Linked DNA regions of Neurospora crassa OR74A. The protein of the gene in region 3 binds, or shares a complex with, the protein of the main gene of each other region. Links are inferred from orthologs where the notes say so. Each region holds a gene or a part of one and is shown on either strand. Other genes may lie near its edges. The genes, in order: NCU03558, NCU09119 and des.

The links.
Region 1: the proteins of des (region 3) and NCU03558 are in contact, whole or in part, in a crystal structure (PDB 3ZIA), measured with the Saccharomyces cerevisiae proteins. The link is inferred for Neurospora crassa OR74A from reciprocal best matches to the Saccharomyces cerevisiae genes ATP16 and ATP15. Residues at the interface, in NP_010280.1 of Saccharomyces cerevisiae: His40, Gln73, Leu74, Leu75, Pro76, Phe91, Ile92, Ser93, Gly94, Gly95, Phe96, Ile110, Glu111, Phe113, Glu116, Ser117, Phe118, Ser119, Asn122, Ile123, Leu126, Arg140, Ala143, Glu144, Ala146, Ile147, Gln148, Glu150, Val151, Leu152; in NP_015052.1 of Saccharomyces cerevisiae: Ser2, Trp4, Ala7, Gly8, Ile9, Ser10, Tyr11, Tyr14, Leu15, Val17, Ala18, Ala19, Ala21, Ile22, Arg23, Ser24, Ser25, Leu26, Lys27, Thr28, Leu30, Gln31, Arg38.
Region 2: the proteins of des (region 3) and NCU09119 are in contact, whole or in part, in a crystal structure (PDB 3FKS), measured with the Saccharomyces cerevisiae proteins. The link is inferred for Neurospora crassa OR74A from reciprocal best matches to the Saccharomyces cerevisiae genes ATP16 and ATP3. Residues at the interface, in NP_010280.1 of Saccharomyces cerevisiae: Gln35, Ala37, Leu38, Pro39, His40, Glu41, Thr42, Ser45, Lys57, Val68, Pro69, Thr70, Val71, Gln73, Gly94, Gly95, Phe96, Thr98, Val99, Gln100, Pro101, Asp102, Gln104, Cys106, Thr108, Ala109, Ile110; in NP_009595.1 of Saccharomyces cerevisiae: Ala70, Ser73, Ala74, Lys76, Met77, Glu79, Ala80, Glu81, Leu83, Phe84, Asn87, Phe173, Lys229, Phe230, Glu231, Ile232, Ala236, Asn237, Val238, Asp241, Leu242, Tyr245, Leu252.

Annotation. Positions count from the first base shown.
Region 1 is NC_026502.1:232,489-236,086, forward strand, and holds NCU03558 (hypothetical protein), read left to right. Parts: upstream 1-1,467; 5' UTR 1,468-1,609; coding exon 1,610-1,641; intron 1,642-2,345; coding exon 2,346-2,463; intron 2,464-2,653; coding exon 2,654-2,740; 3' UTR 2,741-3,087; downstream 3,088-3,598. Other genes in the region: NCU03559 (ubiquinol-cytochrome c reductase complex core protein 2), read left to right, coding at 1-485, 549-644; NCU03557 (amino-acid N-acetyltransferase subunit Mak10), read left to right, coding at 3,563-3,598. UniProt on the Saccharomyces cerevisiae protein: Mitochondrial membrane ATP synthase (F(1)F(0) ATP synthase or Complex V) produces ATP from ADP in the presence of a proton gradient across the membrane which is generated by electron transport complexes of the respiratory chain.
Region 2 is NC_026501.1:5,400,830-5,405,058, forward strand, and holds NCU09119 (ATP synthase subunit gamma), read left to right. Parts: upstream 1-1,354; 5' UTR 1,355-1,579; intron 1,580-1,658; 5' UTR 1,659-1,939; coding exon 1,940-1,995; intron 1,996-2,398; coding exon 2,399-2,979; intron 2,980-3,042; coding exon 3,043-3,176; intron 3,177-3,261; coding exon 3,262-3,390; 3' UTR 3,391-3,692; downstream 3,693-4,229. UniProt on the Saccharomyces cerevisiae protein: Mitochondrial membrane ATP synthase (F(1)F(0) ATP synthase or Complex V) produces ATP from ADP in the presence of a proton gradient across the membrane which is generated by electron transport complexes of the respiratory chain.
Region 3 is NC_026503.1:3,663,745-3,666,791, reverse strand, and holds des (ATP synthase subunit delta), read right to left. Parts: upstream 1,655-3,047; 5' UTR 1,535-1,654; coding exon 1,433-1,534; intron 1,361-1,432; coding exon 1,331-1,360; intron 1,211-1,330; coding exon 1,057-1,210; intron 953-1,056; coding exon 774-952; intron 706-773; coding exon 673-705; 3' UTR 574-672; downstream 1-573. Other genes in the region: NCU16680 (hypothetical protein), read right to left, coding at 93-119; NCU00384 (hypothetical protein), read left to right, coding at 2,720-3,040. UniProt on the Saccharomyces cerevisiae protein: Mitochondrial membrane ATP synthase (F(1)F(0) ATP synthase or Complex V) produces ATP from ADP in the presence of a proton gradient across the membrane which is generated by electron transport complexes of the respiratory chain.

The DNA.
Region 1 (3,598 bases), on a different chromosome or scaffold from region 3:
TTGCCAAGAACGGCAAGAACGCCATCGTCATTGCCTTCCCCGGTGCTTCCCTTGGCGTCCCCCACCCCGAGACTTCCGTCCTCGTCGGTCTCCTCGGCGGTGTCTCCAACATCAAGTGGTCCCCCGGTTTCAGCCTCCTCGCCAAGGCCACCGCCGCCAACCCCGGCGCCGAGGCCTTTGCTCACAACTACGCCTACTCCGATGCTGGTCTCCTCGCCATCCAGATCACCGGCAAGGGTGCCGCCGTCGGCAAGGTCGCCGTCGAGGCCGTCAAGGGTCTCAAGGCCATCGCTGCCGGTGGTGTCTCCAAGGAGGACCTCACCAAGGCTATCGCCAAGGCCAAGTTCAACCTCCTCTCCGCCAGCGAGGTTTCCGGCACTGGCCTCGTCCACGCCGGTGCCAACCTTCTTGCCGGTGGCAAGCCCATCCAGGTTGCCGAGACCCTCAAGGCTCTTGAGGGCGTTACCGCTGAGAAGCTCCAGGCTGTATGTGTGAACCTACAAGAAGTTGGAAAAGAAAAAAAAGATATGCTAACAAACGTTCAACAGGCTGCCAAGAAGCTCCTTGAGGGCAAGGCTTCCGTTTCCGCCGTCGGTGACCTCCACGTCCTTCCCTATGCTGAGGATCTCGGTCTCAAGGTATAGACGTAGACTAGACTTTGGGGGCGCAGAGCGGGTTGTGCAATTCGTAGTTAATTGAAAGAGGAAATACCTAAACGCAGCGAAACGAACCGATTGAAACTGGAAAGGCGTGGATACTTTTTTGAGAAGACGCCAGGGTTGGGAGACAAAAACCAAAACCGTGTACCAACAGCAAAACCGGCCGGGATGAAGTGTGTTGTAGACCTTTCTCGTTGTGAAGCGGGAGATGAAGAACGAACGGCTGGGGACCGACGACTTTTTGTGCATATACAAACCTCTAGACTTTTTATCATTCCTCGCCACTACTTCTCTAGCAGAGCTATAAAACACAAAATGCAGCAGGCATTATTTCTTTTGTTGACATTGGATACCTGTTACAAACGAGGGTGAAATGTCAAGCTTAAGGAATGAGATGAGATATGCTAGTGAGTTTTACGGCGAAGATAAGTAGTTTGGAAGAGACGAGAATGCTTGAGCTCATTTGAAAGTTTACAAATGCGATAGCACATTCAATGTCAAACATCAATCACACAGGTCCATTCAAAATAGGTATCAGGGGTCGATGTTTACTTTTGACCTTGTTAGGTAAGCTGCCGAGCTTGCCCTGGCGGCGGCGGCGGCGGGCGCCCGTAGCTCCTGTTCCGTCACTGCATGGCATGGAAGGAAGCTTGGGGCGGCGTCTCAGTTGGGGGAGTTGGGGTCACAACTGAAGACAAAAAAAAAGGAGGGGCATCACGTGACACACGACGGAGCTTCGGGCAGCGGAGCTTCTCGGGTTCCCTGGTGTTGGATGTGGATTGGGTGGATGGGTGTGCCAGGGTGGGGACCAGTTTTGTCGAGTCGAGAGTGAACCGAATCGCGCGCAAGCAAGTACCGCAGCAAGCAGCAAGCAGCAGACAGCAACAAGTCTTTCTTCGTTTCACCGTCAAGACAACACCCACCCACCCACCCCACAATCTTCGCCCAACATGGTGTTCGCTTGGAAGGCCGCTGGCATTACGTGAGTATCTTGTCTTTTCGTTTTTATTGGCTTGGGGACGGGGAGAGGCAGGGCAAATAGGGCAGTTTATCGGAAGTGTGGGAGGAAGAAGACCAGAATTGCCGCGACAGAGAGAGAGAGAGAGAGAGAGAGAGAAGGATGGAGGAGGATGATGGGACCAACGAGCCTGCCTACCCACGAACGAGCTCGACAACAGAGATTACAACGATTACATGCGCCGAAATCTGGGGTTGTAATTGCCCCGCGACTTGAAATACGATCGATGGACGACAATCTACGGGCGACCTACAACAGGTGGAATGAGAAAGACTGGGAGAGAAAGAGGACGGAGATAACCCCAGGTCATGGACGACAGCAGGACCCAGGGAAACATTGAGGGAGATCAAGGAGAGAGATAATACACGACACACTTGGTCGAGAAAAGCGCCGAATGTCCATGACATGGAGAGACGGGCCCGAATGCGACAAAAACACCGGAAAGCGAGCAAGCGATGCGTAACGACGACTTCGAAGCAACAAAGCAGGCCAGCATTCATCCAGAGCTACGACAGACATACGCACTACAATCACCAGATAGCGCACGGAATGAGCAACACACGAGGATCAGGAGCAGGGCAAGAGGGGGGAACATAGCAGAGGGGACCGGACGAGAGAAAACAGTACTACAAGACAACGAAGGCTAACACGGTTCACGAAAATTACAGCTACAACCGCTACCTCGCGGTCGCCTCTCGTGCGCTCCGTCGCTCCCTCAAGGAGGATAAGAGAATCATTGCTGAGCGTCGTGGCGAGGCTGCCGAGGTCAAGTTCGCTAAGTGGTCGGTACGTAATAATCTTTTTGTCTTTTGGCTATCGGGGAACAATCAGACAAGAGAAGAAGAAAGAGGAGGGGGGAATGTCACGAGTGAGGAGACGGAGAGAAAAAAAATCATGAAGATGGATGGACACCGGCACTGGACGTAAACAACACGAAAGAGAAGCTAATCACACCCCCTCTCTTTCCAAACTACAGAACGGCAAGCCTGGCGAGACCGTCAACCTCAGCTCCGCCAACGCTGCCGCCGCCGCCGAGAACGCCACCTCCGTTCCCTCTTCTTAAGCGGATCGACACACACACAACCAACACACCGTGACGATGTGCTAGGAATGGTGGTGTAGTGGTGGACCGGGAGATGAGAGAAATAGGGTCATATCGCGAATCGCTCCCGCATGGCACTCAAATCCTCACCTCCTGCCGAGTGTCACTAAGCCCGAAGACGTATGACCTGTATCATCAAACATATTGGGGGAGCGAGGAAGAGAAACTCAATAGACGGTTTATTGGCATTTACTTTGTGAACTGGGTGTGACTGGTTGGAAGTGAATCTGAGTGACATATAAATGAACTTGAAAAAGTGTTAGAATGGGTGTGCCGCTCATTGACAGAGGTAACAGGTCCGAGAGTCGTAGATGTTGCACAAGGGATTCCTTTCCCTGAAGTACAGCGTCTCATTGCCTCTTTGGGCTTCATTGCATGATATGCAAAATACGGTAGGCGCTTATTCGACGAAGCCAGTTGAGTTGAAAGATTGGGTTCTTAAAAATAGAAAATGTGATCAATAAAGAATTGTTTGTCATTTCTTAGCAGCCTCATCAACCCACTGACAAGCGGAAAGTGAGGAAGCTTACCTCTAGGTAGGTATGTACCCGAAAGGGGAGTCGGTCGTTAACATTCGGGCTCACGGACGCTACCAGCAAAGAAGTCCGGGCAGCCAGGCACAGACTCAGGTTCCTCCCCTAACAGAGCCAAACATCACCCGACTTCCTCCACTCACCTAACCACAAACAAACAAATGTTCATCTCAAGTGCATACTAATTACCTTTCCTACGGGAGCCCATCCATAGCTCTTGTAAAAAGAAAAAAAAAAAAAACACAAGACCATGATCCCAGACGACCACCAAGCTGCAGTTCAAAGA
Region 2 (4,229 bases), on a different chromosome or scaffold from region 3:
TTCGAGGTTTCTAGCATCAAAACCAGCCTTTTTAATAATAAAGTCTTAATAGATTCTAACTAACATAATTGTACAGCCAAACCACGGAATGTTCTTAGGCAATAATAGCCGTAAGGTATATAGATATTGAAACTCCTATCGAAATTCGCGCTATTTTGATACGCAATATAACTCATCAATAGCAAAAAGACCGATCCGTTTATAGAATTCTAGGGACCGCAATATAGCCTTAAATTTTACACTTATCGCAAGCTCTAGGCTCAGTAAAACATGGGTATAATCGCCGCATTGAATCTAGTCCTAAATATCCCGGTTCTATATACGAATTAGTAGGATTCCAGTATAAAAGGGGGGCAAAAAGCTTACTCTTAGAATTACGTCTTTATCTACCCATACTAGCTTTAAATCTAGCACCTTAGTAGCAATATCATTACGTTAACTTTCCCTAAGCTTAGTAAACAGTACGATTTATATCGTAATTTTATTATACAAAGCTAAAAATACATATAGGACAATACTTTTTCCGTAGCCCATTACCACAACTAATATCGTATCCTTTTATTCGCATACTAGCCGCACTACCACTTAAACCTAGCCTTCTCGAGGCTCTCTATTATTACTAATAATATTTTTCATAACTCTTAGTACGCATTAGGGATTAATAGGGGCATTAACATCGGAATCTATAGCATTGAATGTAGTACTAATAGAATAAAAATTCGAAGAAAAAAAATAATACATCGCAAAGATAAGCGAATTGTACTCGGAGGATAAGACAATTGTAATAATCATACCTACAAAATTTCAAAAAGTTGAGATAAAATATAGTATTGTAGTAAATAGCTAGTCGGCCAACTGACATGTGTCAACACCTAATTTTTTTACGTTTATACAAAAACTTGGCACTTTTATTGGACGCATTAAAAAACTAATTATACTATTAGATTCGTCTCGTCGAGTAGATTCTCCCTATACCCATTAAAGTTCCAGAACTTCCTTTTTTATTTTATTATCATAGAGTCTTACTGGGAAGTTAGTGATTTTATCCCAGCCTCTACAATTCCTATCTGATTGGGAACTCAAACCTCTTTTTTAGGCGTTCTCAATCAATACCGTTAAATATACTAAAAGAATAGATGCACGGACCACAAGTCTGAAAGATTAGAAAGATTCAATTTGAATTTCCGGGCGCGCAGCGCCCTTTCCATTGTACGCGCAGCGCACGGGCCGCAAGCCCCCTTCCCGGCCGCAGGCCGCCCATGCCCAAAAAAGAGGTCTGATTCTGAGATAAGCTAAGTAGGCAGGTTTCAGTGAGGTGGATGGCACGGTGCCCAACAGGAACGGAACAAAAAGAGCTTTTCAAGACAGCCTTCAATTCCACAAGTGAGTTGTACCGCTTGTTCATCTGCAAGTGAGTAGACTGATGCCGCGGTGCAGGATCGCAGGTGCGGGCCAGACCGGGTGCCCCACCCACATGGTAGCTCTGGCAGCTGTCATGGCTGGCAAGAAAGTTTGGCAGAACTCGGCAGCAAGATGGCCTTCCACCTGTGTACATCCGGGCCATAGGTACACTAGATAGGTAAGTGAGGTGCTGCGTGGGGAGCACACCGCAGCTGGCAGGCAGCCAGTAACTAACCAAGCCAATGGCCGGGCAGCAGTCCTCAGCCATTGCCAGGCTCTAGCCGGGAAAAAGGCGAAGGCGCCCGACTGGGGACTGGACAGCGGCACGATGGCGAGCCACACCTCACGAAGAAAGCACGGCCGGAAAGTGAGCAGAGAGCGGAAAGTGTGGAACCGACCTCAGCAAACCTCTCACGCCAATTGCGTCCTATTCCTATTGATCACTCCCCCACGATCAATTGCCGCCTGAATATCAAGTGGTCAACCCCGGGCCACTCCTCTCCAGCAGGTCTCTCCCTCGTCAAATATCCATCTCAACATGCTGTCCAGAGCTGCCCGCCCGGCCCTGAGAGCTGGAGCCGCCGTCTCGTCCCGGTAGGTGCTCTCCCAAGAAAAAAAAAATACCATGTCCTTCTTCCGTAAGAGTGCTCCGTCCGTCTCCGTCCAACATCTCGCCATCTCGCCTCCGTCTGTTCGTCAACCACCGTGCACCAACCGACTACAGCTTCTCGGGGTCTTCGTCTGGCTCTCAGCTCTCTGTGCGACTTGGAAACGAATGCGATTGCGCCGCCAGGTCCCCGATACATGACGTCCGATATATGGAGGGGCAGCACAAGCAAGCAAGCAGGGAACGGGTCGGGTGGGGAGAGAGAGAGAGAAGAGGAGTTGGACACACACACACCCATACGCACACGAGAACGAGAACGGACACGCGATAGCCCCGACACATCGAACCTTGAGACAGAACATGCAGACTGATTGAAGGTCATGACAACAGAGCGGCTGCTCCCGGCGCGGCCACCTTCGCGACTCTCCGTGAAATCGAGACCCGCCTCAAGTCGATTCGCAACATCGAGAAGATCACCAACACCATGAAGATTGTTGCCTCGACCAAGCTCAACCGCGCCCAGCGTGCCATGACCGAGTCCCGCGGCTACGGTGCCACCAGCAACGAGGTCTTCACCTCGGCCGAGACTAAGCCTCTCGAGGCTGAGGGCAAGAAGAAGCTCGTCGTCGTCTGCTCCTCCGACAAGGGTCTCTGCGGTGGTGTCCACTCCGGTCTTGCGCGCTTCATCCGTCGCCGCGCCGCCACCGAGCCTGAGTTCGACATCGTCATCATCGGCGAGAAGGCCAAGGCCCAGCTCTCCCGTACCAACGCCAAGGACATCGTCCTCAACTTCTCCGGTGTTGGCAAGGACATCCCCACCTTCGTCGAGGCCTCTGCCATCGCCGACCAGATCACCCAGCTCAAGGGCGACTACTCTTCCGTTGAGATTGTCTACAACAAGTTCATCAACGCCACCAGCTACGAGCCCACCGTCATTGAGGCATTTTCTGAGGATGCCATCCTCGCTTCCCGTACGTCCTGTCGGCCACCGTGATGCCCGTCGAGGTTCAGTCAGCTGACTAAGTTATATCCAGCCAACTTTTCCGCTTTTGAGGTTGATGAAGAGGTCCTTGGCAACCTCCGCGAGTACGCCCTCGCCAACTCCCTCTACTGGGCTCTCTGCGAGGGTCACGCCTGCGAGATTTCTGCCCGTCGCAACGCCATGGACGTGAGTTCTCCTCCCGTCCCATGCCACCTCTTTGAAGTCGACAGCGGACAGGCTGCTGACGTGAATTCTCTTACCCCTTATCCAGAACGCTTCCAAGAACGCCGGCGAGATGATCAGCAAGTACCAGATTCTCTTCAACCGTACTCGCCAGGCCGTCATTACCGGCGAGTTGGTCGAAATTATCACTGGTGCCACCGCTTCGGCCGATATGTAAACAGCAGCCTAAACAACCGCAGTCTATTAATAGAAGACGAAGATGTATTGAGGGAAAAGGAGAGGGGACCTGAGTAAAAGAAAAGGGTCCAAAGCCGAAATCCATCATCCCTGTCTGCACTCTCAGTTGACATTCAACCATGCCGTTCGAAAGTGTACGAGTATGCGTGGTGTGTGGTATGTCTAGTCCTGGTCCAAAAAGCTGCGTGCCAAATGCCTTCCTTTGTACCAATCAAATGAGCTAGCCTTTCCTTTATTGTACCAACGCCTTCAGTCCATAAATTGTACCACTTCTTTCACACACCTGCCCACTCCGTCGTCAGTAAGCCTTGAAGACATAGCCGCTGTAGTTTCAGTCCACTCAACAAATCTCAGCTGGGATGAGCGCTTGTCAGATGCATGACAATGTCGCTCAGTACAAATTCGTCGGTAAATTCTCAGTAAGCAACCTGACCACGCCGCCGGCCAACTTTCATTCGAAATAAAAGCCGCAGACGGGTGATAAGGGGTGGGGCTTCCATCTCGATGGGTTCGTATATTTGTGAGGAGTTGCTTGTGTTTCCAATATCATCCTGTCTTATCCCGCCTCCATTCCGCGCCGCCGTCGCTTGTTTGGGGCGCTTGATGGGACTGAATGTGTGAAGAGCATGGGAGATGGGATGGAAGTTTCTAATCCTTTTCCGATGTTCAACGGTTAAAAGGACTGGCTGCTTCATTTGCTGTGGAGTTTTGTACATACTCACTTCCCCGCCTGGTTTTAGTATAGGCGACGTTTGCATCTATGCCCTTGGGACAATAATAAAGAGTGGAACAAAGAGTGGCTGTGTGTGTGTGTGTGAA
Region 3 (3,047 bases):
AACAGTGTATGGCAGCTTAATTCTCCGAAAGCGAAGTCAGGGTGCAGCAAATTCTAGCTTAAAGGAGGAGGATTAGTTGCGAGCAAACATACATGTTCGCCTTCCCGATCGCGTTGCATAGTATGTATCAACCGCTCCGGAAACCCTGTCTTGAGCCTATGATAAAGCCGGAGTGGTGGTAACGAGACAAGCTTTATAATGTTGATGTGCGAGCTGGGGGTAGCGCAGAGTAGGAATGCGCGTCTCCTATTGTGTCGCTTTCAGTTGCTGAGCGCGACAGGATAAATGCCAGGTCGGGTAAGAGGTTGATTAAGAATGTCCATCGTAGGTTACGTAGGGAAAGGGTGATGATATTCGGCGTAACGCGATTATTGAGCCAAGGTTGTGAAGTTGGAGGTTTTTTGACGGTGATCAGTCCGTAAGATGTAAGGGTATACTCACCCTTCGCCAAACGGAAGTTGCTCATGTAAGCGAAGCTCGTGCCTCCCTAAACATAAGTGAATAAAACGGCTGTTGTCAGATGCGGCAGTCACGATGGCCGATCACTAGTGGCCCTCAATAGGCAAGATCTGTGCACACTCAAAGCAGCATGTTCAGGTGTTGTCTCCTTAACTAAGATAGGAAATCATGGTGTATGCTACAATGGGGGTAGGATTAAGGATGGTGATACATCTATTTGAGAACAGCCTGGAGGGACTCGAGGACCTACGTCATATCGTTAGTAACCACAGATGCGGTGGAATCGCGCCCAACTACCCGCCTCTCCAACTTACCTCGAGCTCAACCTGGGCCTCAGCAATGTCTTGCTGGCTACCACCACCGCTGACAATCTTCTGGGCCTCGGCGATCTGGGCGCGGACGGCCTCGGCGCTGAAGTCCTCAAGGGCGTAACCCTCAACGGCGTTGATGCTGAGCTTAGAGCCGGGCTGGACAACGGCAAAACCACCGGAAACTAGAACATCTCGTGTAAGCCCAAAGGGTACTTTGATATGGCGACATTTGTTGTTGCTTCTGCCGCTGCGGTTGCGGTTGCGGTTGTGGAGGACGATGACGTACGGAAGTACTGCTTGTTGCTGCCGCTCTCCTCGATGACCTCGACAAGGCCGGGCTTCAGCTGCTCGATGGAGGGAACGTGGTTGGCAAGGACACCCATCTCACCGGAGACGGCGGGGATGTTGACCTGGACGACATCCTGGGACTTGTAGATGGCCTATATGCGGCAATAACTCGTCAGCCATGGTGCTGGACCATGATGGCATACGCGGGCACATGTCAAGGTGGCATCGGATGGGCGTAGTCGAGCATCGATCGGACCGGGTCGCAGTCGTACCTGGTGAGGGAGGGAAAGGCTGAGCTTGATCTACATGACATGCGACAACAGTTAGAGCTATGATAACGATACGGAAGCTTGGGACTCTGAACATCAACATGCCTTGTCGGCGACGGCCTCAGCATACCCTCTGCGCTGGAGGGGGGCGCGGACGGCAGTGGGGCGCACCCGGAGGGCGGCACGAGCAATACGGAGGGAGTTCATGGTGATATGCGGTCTCAATTGAGGGCAGGCCGTCGTCGTTGTCGCGATCGGTCGTTCCGTATCGTCAAGCAGTTTTGCCAATGGCCCAATGCTAGTATGGAGTACCGACCTCAAATTCGCTTAGCCGGGATCCGGGGACAAGGAATAATGTTTGTGCGGGGCCCGTCTTCTGAGAGCTTCAGCACCTCAGCACCTCGAGCACTGGAGGGAGCTTGTCTTCCAGCGAAGCACCAGGCAAAAGCTTGGCAAAAGAACCTTGACGTCGGGCACGGTCGGGATGGTTCTTGGCTCTGCGGAAACTCCCGTTTTTCGATGATGCAACAAAAAGGAGATGACACACCGACTTCACATTCTACGCGCCAAGAGATTATGCAGCTAATTTCTAACGCTCTATCGAAGCTTTCGTCCAAGCAAATCCACGTTGTTCGACATACCTGTACGCCCCATGCCACGTTCGACAGCAGCGGAGCACGAGCCACTCACCTATTCCGATCAAACTGCAGTGAAGCTCCCAATGGCTCCGTTTCGCGAACTTCAGTTGCATCGGCTGGCCTTCCCTTTGGCTCACCTGGTCAATAACATCATGAAAATTTACCCAACACCAGGGGCATTGCCGAGACGGCACATCTCAAAACTACCATGTCGTTTCTCACTTTCACAGCCAGTCGTCTTTGCATCTTCGCATTGTTCTAGATTTCCATCCAGGATTTGCAGATCATGAAATAACCTCAAGCGCATATTGTATGCGGTGCGACCTGAAAAAGACCTCAGCACGTCAACACCGGCAAGTTAAACTTCATTCCAGTTTTCCGGCTGATAAATCGTTTAGGCGGCCCAGGTGTGTCAGCGCTTGAAACCTTGGGCTCATGGTGCTTTGGCTGCCCGGTCTCCGATTCCTGATGGCTTCATGACGCCTGTCACCGAACACCTCCAGCTTGCCCATGCTCCCATGTTGGATGGACCGAAACAAAGACCATCATGTCGCAAACCACAGCGCTGATTCCCATGATGAGTGCGCATTGGACCCCGTGGCCTATCTCTGAATCCCTCATTGGTATCCATCCACGCCATTGCAATTGTATGCCATCGGACAACGACCGAGATTCTCATGCAGCTATGTACATATTGCACCAAGGGTCCATAGGGCTAATGAGGAGGGGTCGGGTCCAACCACAGAGAGTCAAAATGACCAGGAATCACCAAATCCGACCCGGAATACGCAACACTACAAGGTCGATCTTCCCCCGACAAGACCGACCTTTCCTGCTTTTGGCATGGATGAATGCGAGTATTATGCACAAGTCAGACCATGCGAGCCGCACGCTTAACGTATCCTCCCATGCCTTTGCCAACCACTTCATCGCCAAAAAGCTGCTTCTGCCAACTTTATCGCCTTGCGAGAAAGACCATCACAGCCAAGCGCGCAAAAGGGCCGGTTTGTCTCACGGCCGCAATATCAAAATCTTTTCAATGGACCCGACAGCGAGGCGTCACCAGATGGGTAGCGTATGGT